Schizosaccharomyces pombe: one gene and its partners. Changing the gene in region 1 together with any one later gene gives a genetic interaction. Each region holds a gene or a part of one and is shown in the gene's direction. Other genes may lie near its edges. The genes, in order: sre1, lys4, lys3 and pro2.

What was found.
Region 2: mutations in sre1 (region 1) and lys4 together harm fitness more than expected from each alone (negative genetic interaction), as found in Schizosaccharomyces pombe (2 studies listed by BioGRID).
Region 3: mutations in sre1 (region 1) and lys3 together harm fitness more than expected from each alone (negative genetic interaction), as found in Schizosaccharomyces pombe (2 studies listed by BioGRID).
Region 4: mutations in sre1 (region 1) and pro2 together harm fitness more than expected from each alone (negative genetic interaction), as found in Schizosaccharomyces pombe (2 studies listed by BioGRID).

Annotation. Positions count from the first base shown.
Region 1 is NC_003423.3:1,689,400-1,695,270, forward strand, and holds sre1 (transcription factor Sre1), read left to right. Parts: upstream 1-1,994; 5' UTR 1,995-2,428; coding exon 2,429-5,131; 3' UTR 5,132-5,292; downstream 5,293-5,871. Other genes in the region: fructose-bisphosphate aldolase Fba1, read left to right, coding at 1-44; U4/U5/U6 small nuclear ribonucleoprotein complex subunit PRP38, read left to right, coding at 749-890, 1,089-1,579; SPOM_SPBC19C2.10 (BAR adaptor protein ), read left to right, coding at 5,822-5,871.
Region 2 is NC_003423.3:3,505,208-3,509,570, reverse strand, and holds lys4 (homocitrate synthase), read left to right. Parts: upstream 1-2,022; 5' UTR 2,023-2,263; coding exon 2,264-3,520; 3' UTR 3,521-3,863; downstream 3,864-4,363. Other genes in the region: mrpl16 (mitochondrial 54S ribosomal protein uL16m), read left to right, coding at 638-1,285; SPOM_SPBC1105.01 (rRNA-processing Rrp12-like protein), read right to left, coding at 4,066-4,133, 4,176-4,363. UniProt on the Schizosaccharomyces pombe protein: Catalyzes the aldol-type condensation of 2-oxoglutarate with acetyl-CoA to yield homocitrate, the first step of the alpha-aminoadipate (AAA) lysine biosynthesis pathway.
Region 3 is NC_003424.3:528,423-532,573, forward strand, and holds lys3 (saccharopine dehydrogenase Lys3), read left to right. Parts: upstream 1-1,856; 5' UTR 1,857-2,099; coding exon 2,100-3,206; 3' UTR 3,207-3,559; downstream 3,560-4,151. Other genes in the region: GINS complex subunit Psf3, read right to left, coding at 1-38, 145-203, 251-349; SPOM_SPAC227.17C (uncharacterized protein), read right to left, coding at 1,379-1,744; NLI-interacting factor-like phosphatase Psr1, read right to left, coding at 4,010-4,151. UniProt on the Schizosaccharomyces pombe protein: Catalyzes the NAD(+)-dependent cleavage of saccharopine to L-lysine and 2-oxoglutarate, the final step in the alpha-aminoadipate (AAA) pathway for lysin biosynthesis.
Region 4 is NC_003424.3:2,026,649-2,030,557, reverse strand, and holds pro2 (glutamate 5-kinase), read left to right. Parts: upstream 1-1,690; 5' UTR 1,691-1,805; coding exon 1,806-1,860; intron 1,861-1,984; coding exon 1,985-2,283; exon of another isoform or gene 2,284-2,359; coding exon 2,360-3,214; 3' UTR 3,215-3,350; downstream 3,351-3,909. Other genes in the region: ER protein disulfide isomerase Pdi2, read left to right, coding at 250-1,329; cytochrome c-heme-linkage protein Cyc2, read left to right, coding at 3,595-3,909.

The DNA of each region.
Region 1 (5,871 bases):
TTCTTACCGCTCTTGAGGACTTCTACACTGTCAACACTCTCTAAATTTGTGGTTTTTGAAAGATGGAAATGATTGAATAGACGGTGGGCTTCATTAAAATTATATTTTTTTGTCCCCTTAATGAGAGTTCATACTGTTTTGAAATTACGTGTTTGAATATAGAGACATTGTTTTTTAAAATTACCATTGTAAAAGCATAAGAGATATTTGAAGTAAAGTAGGGCAAAGTAAGTTAAGAAATTTTTTTGGATTGGATTTGTAAAGTGTTTTTCAAGCATACTGTATATTGTTAAGATTTTTCTTTTTATCCTTTTATTCATCTTCCTTAATTGGTTAATGTGTTCTTAGGTATATAAATTTACAAAAAAAAAATTTCCGATTCCACATGACAATGAATGAATAAATAATATGTCCGTGCGTTTATTTGAATTTAATATATATCGTTTGGCAAATCTCGATGAGTAGCTTAAAACAACATAATCGCTTGAATTTCATGTGCTTTGTGTACACAGTGTGCATTGTTTAGTAGATCAACTTTTTCTTCTTTCATTGCAATGAGTACGGGCATTTTCCCTTTTCCTCCATATTTCACGAATCCATGTTTTTTTTAGATAACCCTTTCTCAATCAAAACTCAGCATGCTTCTTCAGACTTGACCACTTATATTGTCAGTACACTACTGCTCCTTAAAAGCTTACTCCAAGTCAAGACATCAAGGTTGGAGCAATCATTCTCTTCATGAGGTACTATGGCTGATTTTCTTGCTAGAGATTATCGCTCTCAAGGTGAGGCGGCGCATGAAATGCTGCCGACTTTCCTTATAGGAAAAATCTTGAGAGAACGCATAGTAGATTCTATTTACTGGAAAGAACAATGTTTTGGATTGAATGGTATGTGTTCTTCATTGACAGAAAAGGAAAGTGTTTTTACATATTAGAGTTCAAGTACGATTACTTTCCAAATCGATATTTTGAGTGATATAGCCTAAATGAACTTGATTTGGCAAGCAAAGAAACCAAGTATAGGTACTTGCTGTTTTAATCAGTCCTCAAACTGTTATTCCAAATTCACTGACTAATACATCTTAGCTTGTTCATTGGTGGATCGTGCAGTACGGCTTGAATATATAGGTGGTCAGTATGGAAATCAACGGCCCACCGAGTTTATCTGTTTGTTATACAAGCTTTTACAAATTGCACCTGAAAAAGAAATAATTCAACAGTACCTATCTATTCCTGAATTCAAGTATTTACGTGCCCTGGCTGCATTTTACGTTCGGCTTACATGGGATGATGTGGAAGTGCATCAAACGTTGGAACCGCTGTTAAGAGATTATCGGAAATTAAGAATTCGTACTAATTCTGAGATCCGATTAACATATCTGGATGAGGTTGTTGATGATTTGCTAAATGCCGAAGTAGTTTGCGATATTTCCCTGCCCCCATTGCGAAGTCGACTCCAACTTGAAGATTTGGACTTGCTTGAACCACTTTCATCTTCTTCAGACGAAGAAGATGATGATGAAGAACAAATTAGTAAATTGGAGAGCAATGAAGGTGCTGTAGATCGGAATATTTAAGGATAAGTAATATACAAAAAAAGAGTAAAGCGAAGCACGCATTTTGTGATGCGTCTACGATTTAACTTGGAATGACTCTACAAGGAAAAGTTATGGATTGAAATGGTTTTACACTTGAACTTATTAAAAAACAATTTATGAATAACAAACATCTAATCAAATAGATTTGTATATTAATATATATCGATTTCACATATTATCGCAAATACGCTATTTTTTCTTGTAAACAAATTTCGATAGACTTAGTTTACAGCACACTAAATATTTATAAAATGTCTTTGATACGCCACGGAATTTTTTTCACACCATACTTTAACGAATCACCCCATTCCGTCTATTTTCTTACGTTTCGTTAAAAACATGTCAGTCCACTTCTTTTTTGCTCACATATGAATTAACACGACTTTTCTCTTTCATCCATTACCATACTCGAGCAATCCTAACTTTGCTTATCGGGTGATCGATTTTAAATTTTTTTACTTATAGGACGTCCAGTAGCCTTTATAAGTTCATTGACAACAATTGGGTTGTTGCTGAGAGTTTGTTTACTGCGCTCGACTCTTGCTATAACCTAATCTTAAACGATTATCAAGCTGGATTTCCTTCTTGCTAAGAACATTATTTTATTTTACAACTCATTCAAGAAATTATTTTGCTATCTATCGCCTTGGATAGCTTTTAATGCGTCAAATTTTGGATAATTTGTAGCTCGATTAGAAAATTCGCTCAACATCCTATACAGTCACAGAGATAAAAAACCCTAAGAGTTAAATTCAATTTCTCTTTATTGTTGGATTTTTTAACTCGCTGTTAAATTCCGCTTGGTTCTAGCTGGAAATTTTGTTAAATATGCAAAGCTCAATTCCGTCAGTTTCCGTGTCGGTCGCTTCTCCTGCAATGGAAACTCCAACAAAAGCTTCGCCTGACAGCAAATCACCCAATTCAGTGGGTGCGATTCCTTCTTCATCCCCTTTGGCTTCATCGACAAAGGCTTCAACTTCTACTCCCTTTGTGGAGAATTGTTCCAATCTGTTGTGTGATTTGGCTAGCATTGTCGAGGACTCACCTCCAACCTTGACCAACACCTCGTTGTCTCCCCATTCGTTTTCCCTTTCTGATATGGAGTCATCAATGAGCAATTGGCTTAACCCTTTTGCGTTCGACAATACGATGAACTCGGCGCCTCCTCTGTTTACTTCGACCAACATGGGCTCCCCTAACTCGTTAGAAAACTCTACAAATCCTCTTCTCTCTAATTGCGGCTCTCCAAATTCATTTCAGAATGAGACCTTTACCGGCCCATCATTGAATGAGTTCGATGCCGATGATAAAATTCAGCGCCAAATGAAAATCCTTCACTCTGTTGATACAATCGATCCATCGACTGTTCAAAATTATCCTTCAGCTGATATGTCAAATCCAGAAGTCAAATTGAAAACCGAAGAAATTATTACACCCATGGACACCACTTGCAAGCCTGAACCTTCTGCCAAGAAAATAAAGTTGTCTCCTTCCTCGGAAGATTCTTGCTCAATTCCTGAAACATTACCTTTTTCGGCCCCCAAGTCTAGAGGCTCATTATCTCCTTCTGAAACCCCAGATTTTGTAGCCGGTCCTGGAGGAAAACCAAAGAAGACAGCTCATAACATGATTGAGAAGAGATACAGAACCAACTTGAACGACCGAATTTGTGAATTGCGTGATGCAGTTCCTTCACTTCGTGCTGCTGCTGCACTTCGTTGTGGTAATTCTCTGGACGATGAGGATTTGGGGGGTTTGACACCCGCTCGTAAGCTTAACAAGGGTACAATATTGGCAAAAGCAACTGAGTATATCAGACATTTGGAGGCCAAGAATAAGGAACTACAGAAGACTAACAAGCAGCTTTCAGATAGGCTGGCTTTCTACGAAGATCCTTCGATGGCTCCTCCTTCTAACGATACTCGAGCCGTTAACTCTGTTAATGTTGTTTCCTCATCTGACTATTCTGTTCACCAATCTTCTCGACCAAACCTAACCCAAAGAGCTTTTACTTCCCCAACCCTAAATACCATGGGCCGCACAGCACTAAATGGCATGGTTGGACTTGGTCTATTCAATTATTTTGGAAACGATTCTTCTCAATCTGTTTATGGTTTATTCGCTCTTCCACCTTTTCTTATGTCTCCATTCACAGGTACTGTTCTCTTTAACATGCTGAAAATTGGTGTTGTTTTACTCGGTTTATTCTATCTTTTGCACGATAACTCTCTTTTCAAAGGCTTCAAGGGTGAAAAGAAATCTAAAGTTAGTACCAGATCTTCCATGTCACCATCCTCAATCTTATTCCGAAAAACCGTATTCGAAAAGTATTGTTTATTGGACCATTCTACTTCGACTATTTCTCTATTTTTTGGATTACTGATCTTCACTCTTAAATCTGCTTATGGCTATTTGACTCATCGTTTGAGTGCTCTTTATACCTCCTCTGAGAATTGGGTTTATAGTGAGCAACAACTTGCTGAAGTTCGCAACATGGAAAAGCTTTTGGATGCCCAATTAATGGGTGGTGATGCTAAAGTTGACCGTTTGAGGCTCTTAATGGTATTTGCCAGTTCATTTTCTCTTCCTCCTTCAAGTCATACTTGTGCTTTACAAGCAATGTATTGCCAACTAATTTTTTCCAACACCTCTGTCCCATCCGCTATCGTTTCGAAGTGCGTTGCTTTCTTCTGGAATGCTGCAAAGAAACAACATAGCAAAAGTTCTGTACACGCGGAGTTACGTGAGCTTCCTGAGTGTACTGCTAACCTAATTGAAAACTCCCACGCTGACGACGTTTTCTCTCCGAATATGGTTGAGCGATTGTGGGTTCTAGCAAAGTGCACCCGTGACTCTGCTCAAATGTCAGATAGTATTATTAGCTCCTTATCTGATGTTTTGGTTTTATCTCCTCTAGAGGTGCTTGCCTCATGGTATGCCGCTGATTTGTTGGATGCCCTTTTGATGGAAAGTTTGAGCCGTAAAGTTGAGATATCCGAGATTGAGGAAATTATTTCCCTTTGTCCTAAGAACTCCTCTATTATTCGTCATGCTTTACTAGCTAAATTGGTTTTGTTCCCCGAGAATACAGCTGATTCTTTGAATGAAGTCCTTGCAGCATACAAGAACACTTTGGATTTATGCAGCCAAGATAAACGCAAGCAGTCAAGCGTGTTAAAGATCAACTTATCCAAGCTATTCACACTCCACTCATGCCTATCATTAGCACTCCAACGCCTTGGATACGGGGATGTTTCTAAACGTATGTATCAGGAAATCTTTGTACCTGATAGTGATGCAGACATTACACCTTTATCTTTTATTATTTCCTGGACCGCTTTGAACACTTTTGCTCCTATTTGCACATCTCCAAAGGAAAACGATGTCGTTGAAAAGATGGCCATGTACGTGCGGACGGCCATCGGAACTTTGAAAATTCAAGATTTGAAATTATCTCGTAAGTTAATCAACTCTTGCATAGATATTGGATCTCGCTTACAAGAAGATTTGGGTTATGTTTCATCAGCTTAAATTGTCGATTCTCGAGCTTTGAGAACAGTTAGTATACAACGCTCATCTATTGCAACTACCTTATTATTTTCCATGATTGTTATTTCATCAGTTATTTTGCGTATCATTTTTTAGTTTTAATTATTCTTTTAATAAATTACAGTTGTCGTCGGTAAGAGCAGTGATAAAAATATGCAATTAGAGTTATTTTGTTGTATCAAGCTAGCACAATTCACCATTTGAGTATATTTGGTGATTAAATAAAATGAATAGAGTACAATTTGAGGCATGCTAAGGTTCATCGAACTAACTATTTTTTTAAATAATGACACATTGGCAAGATTAAAAAATTGGATTCTTCTCTTGCAGTTAACTCTCTGCTGTTGATGAAGATGTGTTGAATCTTAGACTGCTGATATCCATTTTATACCAATTGTATAAAAAAAAGAATGTCAATTATTAATAAAATGGAAATGCATAAGATAGATAAGAGTGGTCTGAAGTTTTACGGTACAGTACGTAGTTCCGTCCTTACTGAAATCTCGGGAGTAATACGAACCATTCACCAAAGGTAAACAAACTACCAAATTGTTTTTATGTATTATTTACTACTATATTGGTTAACTTATTCTGAATCCTACAACCTAAAATAAAAATAAATAGACTCGCTTTTATTATTTGTCGATTCAAGAACTTAGCTCTCCTTTGAAGATGAACAAACATTTTGCAAAGCTTTCACAATGGACCGGTGAAAAATTTGG
Region 2 (4,363 bases), 1.8 Mb from region 1:
CCTTCTAATGGTTTATAAACGTACATCAGAAGATTTTTTTAAGACAGTCTTAACATTCCAAATACCAATACTGAGGCACTAAACAGTTGAACGTTTTGTTATTCTTCAAGGACAAGAATTCCTTGACAAGAAATGAGCTAAGTATATTATTTGAAATAGCTAAAATAGTCACTGTTTTATTTCTATTCACGCATTGTTGTCATTGAAATGATGATGCTGAATCAAATAATGTGTTGAGCATAAAACGCACGTTAAATTCAGTATCTATGAAAATAATCTTTTTTGCCTAATGCTTAAGATAATTTTTTTTTTTTTTTTTACAAACTAATAAACAAACAAATAAATAATTATAGCTAATGTTCAGTTATTGTCCGGCTTCTTCCCGGAACTTAGTTAGGATAAGTGGCAGCAACACATACAGAATCCAAGTATCCTTTAACCCCCTTCTCATACAAAAAATAGCAGGCCTATTATCGTTACTATTGTTACCATTTTCCCATAAAAAAAGAAATATAATACTTAAATTTGATTATTTTGAATATTTCTGAGTAACTTTAAAGAACGACTTTTGCATGATAATAAAAACACGTTGTTTTATGACTTTTTGAAACCCTCACAACATAAAAACTTATATAATATGGCTTTACAACAATACAATAAATTTCCTTTCTTTTTTTCTGGTATTTTAGGACCTACGAGGTTGAATGGTTTACAAATGCCGCCTATCCAAACGATGGTTCGTTGGGGACACCAGTATGCACCCAGAAGCATCAGAAACCAAAAAGCTCAGAAAGGAAGAGTCCCTATACCCATAGGAGGTTCACTACGTGGTACTCAACTTGAATGGGGAGAATATGGTATGCGATTAAAAGATCGAAGTATAAGATTTCATGCCAAGCAACTCGAAACTGCCGAACAGATTCTCAAGCGTATATTAAAACCTATCAAGGCTGCTCGGGTATACACACGTTTTTGTTGCAATGTGCCAGTATGCGTAAAAGGAAATGAAACTCGTATGGGCAAAGGCAAAGGAGCTTTTGAATACTGGGCTGCACGGATACCAATCGGTCGTGTACTTTTTGAAATTGGTGGTGATGGAATGCGTAAAGAGTTAGCTGAGCATGCATTGAAGCAAGCCGCTTTTCACCTTCCAGGCAAGTATGAGATTATCGTCAAGCAAACCCCCAAAAGATTGGGTACCACACTGATTCATGAAACCCCCATTACCACCGAGACAAGCAAAATGAACTATCAGGAAATTACCAGTACTACTACAGCTGTTTAAGGGAAAAGTTAAGCTGAATTTATCTATTTTTAACCCATTCAATAATTACTTTTCTGTCATACTTCTCACTTACTTAGTTTGTGAACTTAATGCTGCATCTTTGTACAGACATTCATGAGCTTCTTTTCAATCGTTGTAGTTATTCTATGTTTTAGTGAATGAAATTTGCCAGAAATGCCTTAAAACATTGTACATTTTGCGCTATGTTTCATTATCTATTTTCGAAATGGGAACTTTCATCCCCAATGAGAGAGTTGCTTAATTTTTGTTGGCGAAATATGAACCACTTTTGATTCACTTTGATTACGGCTCGGCAATTTCGTTAAAACATCAAATTTCTTTGGTCCTGAAAAGTTGGTAACGGTAATGAGTGTTTTTGGCGAAAATCTTATTTGCTGCTCTCTGCTCCGTTGGGGACTTTTTTTCGGGATGTAAAAAACGGCACGTTGTATATGTGCGAAATCATGAAGTGAATCAAAAAGTACACTTTAAATAATATGAAACTGATTTTACTATGGAATTACGAATGAAATTATTCAAATCAACTCCACTAAAATATTTACAACGTTTACAAAAAAAATCACTATACCTTCTAGAACCTAGCTTAGCAATCCACTGTTGAGTGGATCAGTAACTTAATCATTACTACCATAGATCTGATTAAATCTCATCAAGATCGATCGGGATCTGTAAATCAATTTTCTACCATAAATTACCGCGGTTGCCTACGAGTTGGTAGTGACTGTTTCTTTCAGTAAATAAATAGGGTAGGGTCGAATTTTTTGAAATTCATACATACGTGCATCCTTGCTCTTAGTTGTCTCCTCTACAGTGATAAAAGATTTAGCTTAAAAAATTCAAAGCTAACAGGTTTCGGGACAATAAGTTGTTGAATTGTATAATTTATATATTTATACTTAATTCATTTTAGAAAATTCGCTTTTCCTTTTCCTTTTTTTGCATTTTAAAGTCATCAACATGTCTGTGTCCGAAGCTAATGGTACTGAGACCATCAAGCCTCCTATGAATGGAAACCCTTATGGTCCCAACCCATCTGATTTTCTTTCACGTGTCAATAACTTTTCCATTATTGAGTCTACTCTTCGTGAAGGTGAGCAATTCGCAAACGCTTTTTTCGACACCGAGAAGAAAATTCAAATTGCTAAGGCATTGGACAACTTTGGTGTCGATTACATTGAATTGACTTCTCCCGTGGCTTCTGAGCAGTCCCGCCAAGATTGCGAAGCTATTTGCAAATTGGGCTTAAAGTGTAAAATTTTAACTCATATTCGCTGTCATATGGATGACGCTCGTGTCGCTGTTGAGACTGGAGTTGATGGTGTTGATGTTGTTATCGGAACTTCTCAATATCTTCGCAAATATTCCCATGGAAAGGACATGACTTACATTATTGACAGCGCTACCGAAGTTATCAACTTTGTCAAGAGCAAGGGTATTGAAGTCCGCTTTTCATCTGAGGATTCTTTCCGTTCTGATCTTGTCGATCTCCTTTCTCTCTACAAGGCTGTAGACAAGATTGGCGTCAACCGTGTTGGTATTGCTGACACCGTTGGTTGCGCTACTCCTCGCCAAGTCTACGATCTTATTCGTACCTTACGTGGTGTTGTCTCTTGTGATATTGAATGTCATTTTCACAATGACACTGGTATGGCTATTGCTAATGCCTATTGCGCATTGGAAGCTGGTGCTACCCATATCGATACTTCCATTCTTGGTATTGGTGAGCGTAATGGTATTACTCCTCTTGGTGCCTTGTTGGCTCGTATGTATGTCACCGATAGGGAATACATTACCCACAAATACAAGCTTAACCAGTTACGTGAGCTTGAAAACCTTGTCGCTGATGCCGTTGAAGTTCAAATTCCTTTCAACAATTACATTACCGGAATGTGTGCTTTTACCCATAAGGCTGGTATCCATGCTAAAGCTATTCTCGCTAACCCTTCTACATATGAAATTCTTAAGCCCGAGGACTTTGGCATGAGTCGTTATGTTCATGTTGGCTCTCGTTTGACTGGTTGGAATGCCATCAAATCTCGTGCTGAGCAGCTTAACCTTCATCTTACTGATGCCCAAGCCAAGGAACTTACCGTTCGCATCAAGAAATTGGCTGATGTCCGTACTTTAGCCATGGATGATGTTGATCGTGTTCTACGTGAATACCATGCTGACTTGAGTGATGCTGATAGAATCACCAAAGAAGCGTCTGCTTAAATTGGAAGTGATTATTAGCCCCAATTTTAAAAATTTAACTCCTCTCTTCTTGGCTTGCATTGTATATATGTTTCGCATGTATATCTATTAAAAAATTTTTTTTCGTTGCAAGTGCTGGTTCTTTTACGTAGTGTCTTGATATTGATCATTAAAAAAGTTTTTTTCTCTTTATGTGTTCTTTTAAAGATCACAATTATTCCTGCTTCAAGCCTTATTGCAATGTTATATCTGGTTGCTTTTACTTTTGGGTCGTTTTATGTTTTAAGGTGATATATGACAAACATTATTTATCGTTTTTATTCTATTAAAATAAAATATTTTAATTTGAAAATTTATATTAGCACGCTCAAGGAATTACTTCCTTGCTACTTCATTTTATGTAAAGTTAATGCGTATTTTTATATAATTTTTCAAACCTATTATTACCTTTTGTAAAAAATAATTTAAACCCCTTGTAACCAGTGATTTTTCTTAAATGAAATTACTCTAAAAAATATGGCACCTAAAATTATCCATTCTATGCATTCGTACAGATATACTCTTCCTTAATTCTTTTTTTGAACCCTTTTAGACGTGTGCATCCCAGTCGAAAATTTATCACGATGCATAGAAGCTGAAATGTTAGTCAACAAAGATTCTTATTAAAAAAACATACCTTTGTTAAGTTTCTTCTCGTGTTTTCGAAAATCCACTTTACCAACTTTTGCTTTTTTGTTCATAGGATTTTTGATTGCCAAATCTTCACTATCGGAAGCATCCCTTTTATTATCCACGACTTTTTTATCACCTCTTGAACGACGTACGCGCCAAATTCGTTGCAACCATTCTTTATCAGTCTCATTC
Region 3 (4,151 bases), on another chromosome or scaffold:
AAGAAAATGGTGCTGGCATATGAATACTAACAAAAGAACTATAAAGTAAGCAAATAAGCAAAATTATCCAATTTTCTATAAGACATTACATGTATATAATGTAACATGCAGAAAAAACCAAAAAAAAAAAAAAACTTTACTTACTTAATTGCTAAAACCTCTGCCAGCCAAAAAGGAAGTTCAACTTTAGAGCCCGTAGGAACCTAAACTGTTTAGAAAGTCAAGTTCTATTTTTATAAACTTCACTAACCATACGCCCTTCATGGCCTAGTCCTGGAATGGAAACTGTACTAGTACATGGAACCTTTTGATTTTCAGACAAGATACTATCAATATCATAGTAATCCATTTTTTTAATGTCTGAGCAGAAGGAATGATAGAAGTGTTATTGTTATTTTATCAAAATATGTTCATTTAGAAAAGTTGCAGTTACAAGGTAAAAGTAGGTAGATGCAACGATAAATTCAAATTTGAGTTGGCTAAGATATAGTGGATAAATAATGAACTGTAATTACACCAGTACTAATCAACAAAAAAAATAGAGATAAAAAAGATTTATTTTTACTTTTCTTAACAGAGCATCTAGTTCAAAAAATTAGTGCTGATAAATATTGTATGTTCGAGTACTAAAAATTTGCTTCAATGTTTAACTCGAAAAGTATGTCATACATGTGTATATTCGTCCTTCTGAAATTGGTCGAAAAATTTTATTAAAAAAAGGAAACTTTGTTCTATAGTTTCATTAAAGAAACGCATATGCTTGTTTGAATGTTATACCTATTTATGAAACTTGCTCATTATGCGATCAAAATTTACACAATCTTTCCGTAAAACTGATTTTTTTAAATGATTTTTAGTCCGTAATCTACAAAACATGATTGCATTGTATTCAAAATTATTTTGCGTATTAATTATTTAGTATGTCATTTCCAAATGCAAAAAGGTTTTAACACCGACATAGGCCAAATTTCATAAGTTATTCGCCAAGTTTCATCAACAGGTTCATCAAGTCATATACGCTTTAATCCATACTTTAGATGTCAACACCTTCGAGTTTATCAGCAATCTTTACCTGAGTAAATAATCAACCTGCTGCCAAACAATGTTGTAAAATCAAAGCAACAATTTGTTGTTCGTTTAATTAGTTACTCATAAAATTAAAGAGAACTCAGAGTTTACTTGGAAGGTAAATTAAATAGAAGTACCCCGCCAACTATAAACAATTAGTTTCAAAGGTTAAGCAGACTAGGATATACAGGAACTTTACATCCAAGACATCATCAAATATGCTATTCCCCCAATGTTATACGCAACAAATGGATGCCTTCGTAAGAATTGATATCGACGTTTGGTGAACACAGCACGAAACGTTAAAAACTTATTCACTACTTTTTGGAGAAGTACGCATCTTCCAAATGTCTTCACTATTCGGCCCTTGCCTAAACTTCATCCACTGCTGAAGACGCCGCTTACGAAGCCCTTCTTGAGCCTCTTCGTGAGCCTTCGACTTGGTTGACAGACACCATTTAAAGTCTTTAAAATTTCCCTTACATCTGTTGTATTCACCATAACGATAGTAATGATTCATTTGTGAGAACACTGTTAAACACATGGCCATTTGGTCAAAGTAATACTGTAAACTACACGGATCCTCAGGAATCCCTTTTTTCAAGTCGAGTATTTTATCTAGTTCCGCATACTGACCAAAAGTGCTTTTTTCATCATTTTCTTTAAAATTATTCATTATTTAAAAGCATACTAGTAAAAATCAAGTGAATTGTGCCTAGGATAGGTAGCTAACGTGACTGCCACTGAACCTGTGTAGCGTATTAGATCCATCAAGATCCCTTCTGCTCATATCATTGCTGATCTGTAAATTGACCGCATCAAATTTGATCTCATTTATATCGAGATTGATCTATATTATTTTGCCAATTTGCAGTATATAAACTTATTTGATTAAGTTTTTGGTCTCCTTCGCCACGTCTTCATTTTGTTAGTTTAAATTTTTTTGACTAACTTAGAAAGGGAAGTTTTTAAAAACGTTGAAATACTTTTTCGATTTAAAAATATATATTTAATTAATTTTCTGTTCCAAAATGGTTGCTCCTCATCTTTGGTTACGTGCTGAAACCAAACCTTTAGAAGAGCGCAGTGCTTTGACTCCTAGAACTGCCAAGATACTCGCCGATGCTGGATTTCAAATTACCATTGAGCGCTCTTCCCAACGTGCTTTCAAGGACAAAGAATTTGAGCGCCTTGGTTTCCCCATGGTTCCTGAGGGCTCATGGCGACATGCACCTAAGGACGCGTACATTATTGGTCTCAAAGAGCTTCCGGAAAATGATAACAGTCCTTTGAAGCATACTCATATTCAATTTGCTCATTGCTACAAAAACCAGGAAGGTTGGCGTGAAGTCTTGTCCCGATTCCCCGCTGGCAATGGTCTTCTATATGATTTGGAATTTTTGCAAGATGACAATGGCAGACGTGTTGCCGCTTTTGGTTACCACGCTGGTTTTGCTGGATCAGCTATCTCATGTTTAGTTTGGGCACATCAATTATTGCATCCTAACAAACAATTCCCTGCTATCCGTCCGTTCCCCAACGAAAAATCTTTGGTTCGCCATGTTGCTCGTCAAGTACGTTTAGCTTTGAAAAAGAATAACAACCAGTATCCTCGTATTCTGGTTATTGGGGCTCTTGGTCGTTGTGGTACTGGAGCGTGCGATTTAGCATCAAAGATTGGTATTCCCTTCGATAACATTCTTCGCTGGGACATTAATGAAACTAAGAAGGGTGGTCCCTTTACCGAAATTACGGAATCAGACATATTTGTTAACTGCATTTATCTGAGCATGCCTATTCCCAAATTCTGTACCGTCGAGTCGTTAAATGTACCTAACCGTAAATTGCGTGTTGTTTGTGATGTTAGCTGTGACACTACCAATCCTAACAATCCTATTCCAATTTATAATGTAAACACTACATTTGATCATCCTACAGTTGAGGTTAAAGGTGTCACAACTCCTCCTCCTTTAGAGGTCATTTCTATTGATCATCTTCCTACTTTATTGCCAAGGGAATCTTCCGAAGCATTTAGTGAAGCTCTAATTCCTAGTCTTTTGGCTTTGAAGGACGTCGACAATGCTCCCGTTTGGGTCAGAGCTAAAAAACTTTATGAAACCATGGTTCAAAAGCTTTAAAATAAATGTTATTTAATTTCAAAGTTCCGGGTCCTTTATATTGTTTCACCAAATTATTGAATATTATTTTCTCAAAAATTAACTTTAGAATACAATTTAGACGGCATTTTCGATGCTCTGGACATTTTTTCCACGTACTTGTTAAATTGTAGCGGTGTTGCATAATACTACCTTTTGATTTGTTATTCACGTTACAATATATATTTGACTAATTTAAATATGATAATATACACATTTCTCTGCAAACCTCCTTTATACTTTTCGCCGGTCATTGATTAATAATTAAGAAACAGGATTTCATCCTGCATTTGCCACTTACCTATATGGTAAATATAAATCTTGAAACTTTCCCCAATATTTATTGCTTGCCTTACGAAGTTAAATTATAGGCACAGACATCTTTGGCATTGGAAAGATTTAGTAACAATCATAATGTAGCACTTCTTAAAAAATCTAATTTTAGAACAAAAAGGCTTAAAAAAGAATGGTTCCGCTCTTTTAAAAAATAGTAAAATGTACAATAGCAAGGTTTTCGTAGGTCGACGGACATAACAAGGGGAAAGAGAAATAAAGCATGTAAACGTCAATAAAACATCTTTGATTCTGGATCAATCATATGCCAAATGAAGAAAAATAGCATTTATAACAACATGAAACCATATTTGAGACCTTTTAACGATGAAAATTTATTAAATAAAAGATAAAAAAGAAAGAAACCGTTCAAGTTCAATGAAAATTTCGTCGTGAAGTAGAAACCAAGATAATGGAAAGGCTTCGCAAAGCCACAAATTTTCCAATAGTCATTATAACTGAAGATTAAGGACAGTACTAACATCTGGAACACGAGCAAGATGTTCAAGAAATGGAATTAAATCGATTAATTCCATATCGTGCATATCGTTGAACCATGAAGATATTGGAACAGCATGCGAAGGATGAAATATG
Region 4 (3,909 bases), on another chromosome or scaffold:
GGATGCGCTAGCGATATAAGCTTACCAAAGTGTGGAATAAAGAATACAGTGACGAATGAAGCTACTAAATAGTGCAATTTAGTGAATATTCCTTTTGTTATAGATAGGTAACATGGGTAACGATGCTCAGTAAGCTCATTCAAACATGACACAGCCGGCTTCGTACAGCTTACATTACCCAACGACATATACATACTTTTGTTGTACCTGTCCCGTATTTGTGGACACTGGAAAAGTAGAATACTTAGAATGAGATTACCTCTGCTGAGTTTTGTTATATTTGCGCTTTTTGCGCTTGTATTTGCATCAGGTGTTGTAGAGCTCCAAAGTCTCAATGAGTTGGAGAATACTATCCGAGCTTCTAAAAAAGGAGCATTGATTGAGTTTTACGCCACCTGGTGTGGACATTGTAAATCTTTAGCGCCAGTGTATGAAGAACTTGGCGCTCTTTTCGAAGACCACAATGATGTCTTGATTGGCAAAATTGATGCGGATACACACTCCGATGTTGCTGATAAATACCACATTACTGGTTTTCCAACACTGATCTGGTTTCCTCCTGATGGATCTGAACCAGTTCAGTACTCCAATGCTCGCGACGTTGACAGTTTGACTCAATTTGTGTCTGAGAAAACTGGTATCAAAAAACGCAAGATTGTCCTCCCTAGCAATGTAGTTGAGCTCGATTCTTTGAATTTTGACAAGGTTGTTATGGACGATAAAAAAGATGTTTTAGTTGAATTTTATGCGGATTGGTGCGGTTATTGCAAGCGTTTGGCTCCTACTTACGAAACTCTTGGCAAGGTATTCAAAAACGAACCAAACGTTGAGATTGTTAAAATTAATGCAGACGTCTTTGCTGACATCGGAAGGCTACATGAAGTTGCAAGCTTTCCCACCATCAAATTCTTTCCTAAAGATGATAAAGATAAGCCTGAATTATACGAAGGAGATCGTTCTTTAGAATCTTTGATCGAGTACATTAATAAGAAATCTGGAACTCAACGTTCTCCCGATGGCACTTTACTTTCTACTGCCGGCCGTATTCCAACTTTCGATGAATTTGCTGCTGAGTTTTTGGATATGTCAAACGCTGCCAAGGAAGTTGTTCTTGAAAAAGTCAAGCAGTTAGCCTTAGAGGATTCATCTAGATGGACTAAGTATTACAAGAAGGTTTTTGAGAAGATTTTAAATGATGAAAATTGGGTACATAAAGAAGCTAAGCGTTTGTCTAAACTTTTACGCCAGAAGAGCATCGCTTTGGCCAGTGCTGATGATTTTAAAACTCGCCTTAACATTCTAAATTCCTTCCTTCCTGGTAATCACTAGTGATTTGGAAATGTTTGCTACGTTATAGGTGAAAAAACTTAATCTTATGACCGTAGGTTTATAAATAAATCAACAGTTTCATGATATTTTCGATAAATACTGAGGAATATGTAGGTTAAAGTATTACCCTTTAACAATTTTTTATGTACTTATAAAAATAGATTTTCTCTCCATTAATGATTTGTGTCTTTTTTAGTTTCTACGTATATGATAAACTAAAGACAATAATTAATATTAAATAGAACGTTGTAGGTAAATTCAACAGCTATATACTCTAACAGGCTTTTATCCTTAAAATTGAAATCCAAATCCTACATATAATTATTCCTTATCAATGGGCTATAAGGCTTTCCGTTATTTTACCACTACTAGATGGGCCGTTGATTTGTAAAGGTGAAGACAAGTCGTATTCCACTAAAATTTATCCTTTTTTTAAAAAATAAATTTCAACAGTAACTTTGTAGATTTTTTTTAAAATGTCTCCGAAGTCGAAAAGCACAAATAAGACTTACACAATTGTCATCAAACTTGGTAAGCACGGAATAGTAAGCTATACAAAAGCATATGTATGAATTTTATATCTCACTTTTTCAAATATGTATTTCTTTGTTTGCTCGTTGTTGGCATCACAAACGCTTTGCTAACATTATTTTAGGCACATCGTCAATTTGTGATGAAAAGACTCATGAACCATTAATTTCAAATTTGTCACTAATCGTTGAAACCGTTGTCAAGCTTCGAAAGTTGGGTCATAATGTCGTTTTGGTTTCAAGTGGTGGTATTGCAATGGGCCTTCGTAGATTAGATTTACCTAAGCGTCCTTCAAAGCTTTCTGCTGTACAAGCAATTGCCGCGGTCGGTCAAGGAAGACTAATTTCCTTATGGGATACCTTATTTACACAACTTCGTCAGCCTATTGCGCAAGTTTTAATCACTAGAAACGACATTGCCGAGGTAAGATTCAGATAATTATTGTTGACACTTAAAAAATTATTTTAATTACTGACGGGTACTAACTATTAATATTTAGAGATCCCAATATGTAAATGCAGCGAACACAATTTCCGAGTTGCTACATTTTGGGGTAGTTCCCATTGTAAATGAAAATGATACTCTGTCTGTTCAAGAAATCCGTTTTGGTGATAACGATACTTTATCGGCAATTACAGCTGGCATGATAAACGCAGATTATTTGTTTTTACTTACAGATGTTGATTGTTTGTATACAGACAACCCACGTACCAACCCTGACGCTAAGCCTATTTTAAAAATTCATGATACATCAATGGTAAATGCAAACGTTTCCACACCCGGTAGTGGAGTTGGAACAGGGGGAATGAAGACGAAATTGATCGCTGCAGATTTGGGAACGTCTTCAGGCGTAAATGTTATAATATGTCGTGGTTCTAAACCTTCGAGTATATTCGATATAATCCGTCAGGAATCCTCTGATAATAAAAATGAGTCAGTTGAATTACCTCTGCATACCCACTTTGTAGCCAAAAAGCAAGGAAGGATCCGTGATCGACACTTTTGGCTTTTGCACGGCCTTAAATCACATGGGAGTTTGGAAATTGATCGTGGGGCTTTCGAGGCTATAACCCGTACAAATAGAGCAGGATTACTACCAGTTGGTGTAACCAAAGTACATGGCCATTTTTCAGCTCACCAAGCAGTTACGGTTATTTACAACGGAGAGGAAATTGGCAGAGCCCTTGTTAATTACAGCAGTACTGAAATAGATTTGATTAAAGGCAAGAGAAGCAAAGAAATTGCATCCATCTTAGGATATAACGAAACTGAATATGTCGCCTACAGAGACTATTTAGTAGTTCATGGTTTAAATTCTCATCATGATTCACAAGTTAGTTCTGATGAGCATTGATGTATATATTTAATCACTAGCTTATTTAGAACTACTAAAATTTGTTTTTGCTCTGTTTTTTACCTTTATTATTGGCTTACTGTTATTGAAATTTTTTTGTTATAGAAGGAAGGTTTACGAACTTAATATACAAAAACAGAACCATAAATATCTATTAGAAAATTTATTAAGATTTGTTTATTTTTGTTAAAAAACTATTAACCTTAGATAATAATCAGACGTTTTGTACTGAGTTGTGTAATTAACAAAGTACATTTTGTTGGTATTATATCGGATACTTCCTACGAAGCCTGTGATTGGATTTGGCTTTCATAAACGATGAATATAAGTACACGCAATTCCAACCTCCCCTTGATACAGTAAAACTTACAAAGAAAACAATGAGTAGCTCGACTTACAGGAAATTGCCTAAAATCTTAGCTGCAGGTCTTGCTATTGGTTGCGCAGGTGGTTATTATGCTTATAAAAATTCGAATAAGCCCCCAGGACTTAATCCCGAAATTTATGCTCCATTTACAGTTAATAAAATTACAGAGCTTACATCCGATGCTAGCTTGTTTTCGTTAGTTCCTCAGAGCCCTTCTGAACACCTTACTACTTTGGAACCGATTGCTAAGGTAACAATTCGTGATCCCAGTATGCAAGTCCAGAGACCATATACCCCTTTGTACTTGGATGCCAATGAATTAAAGTTC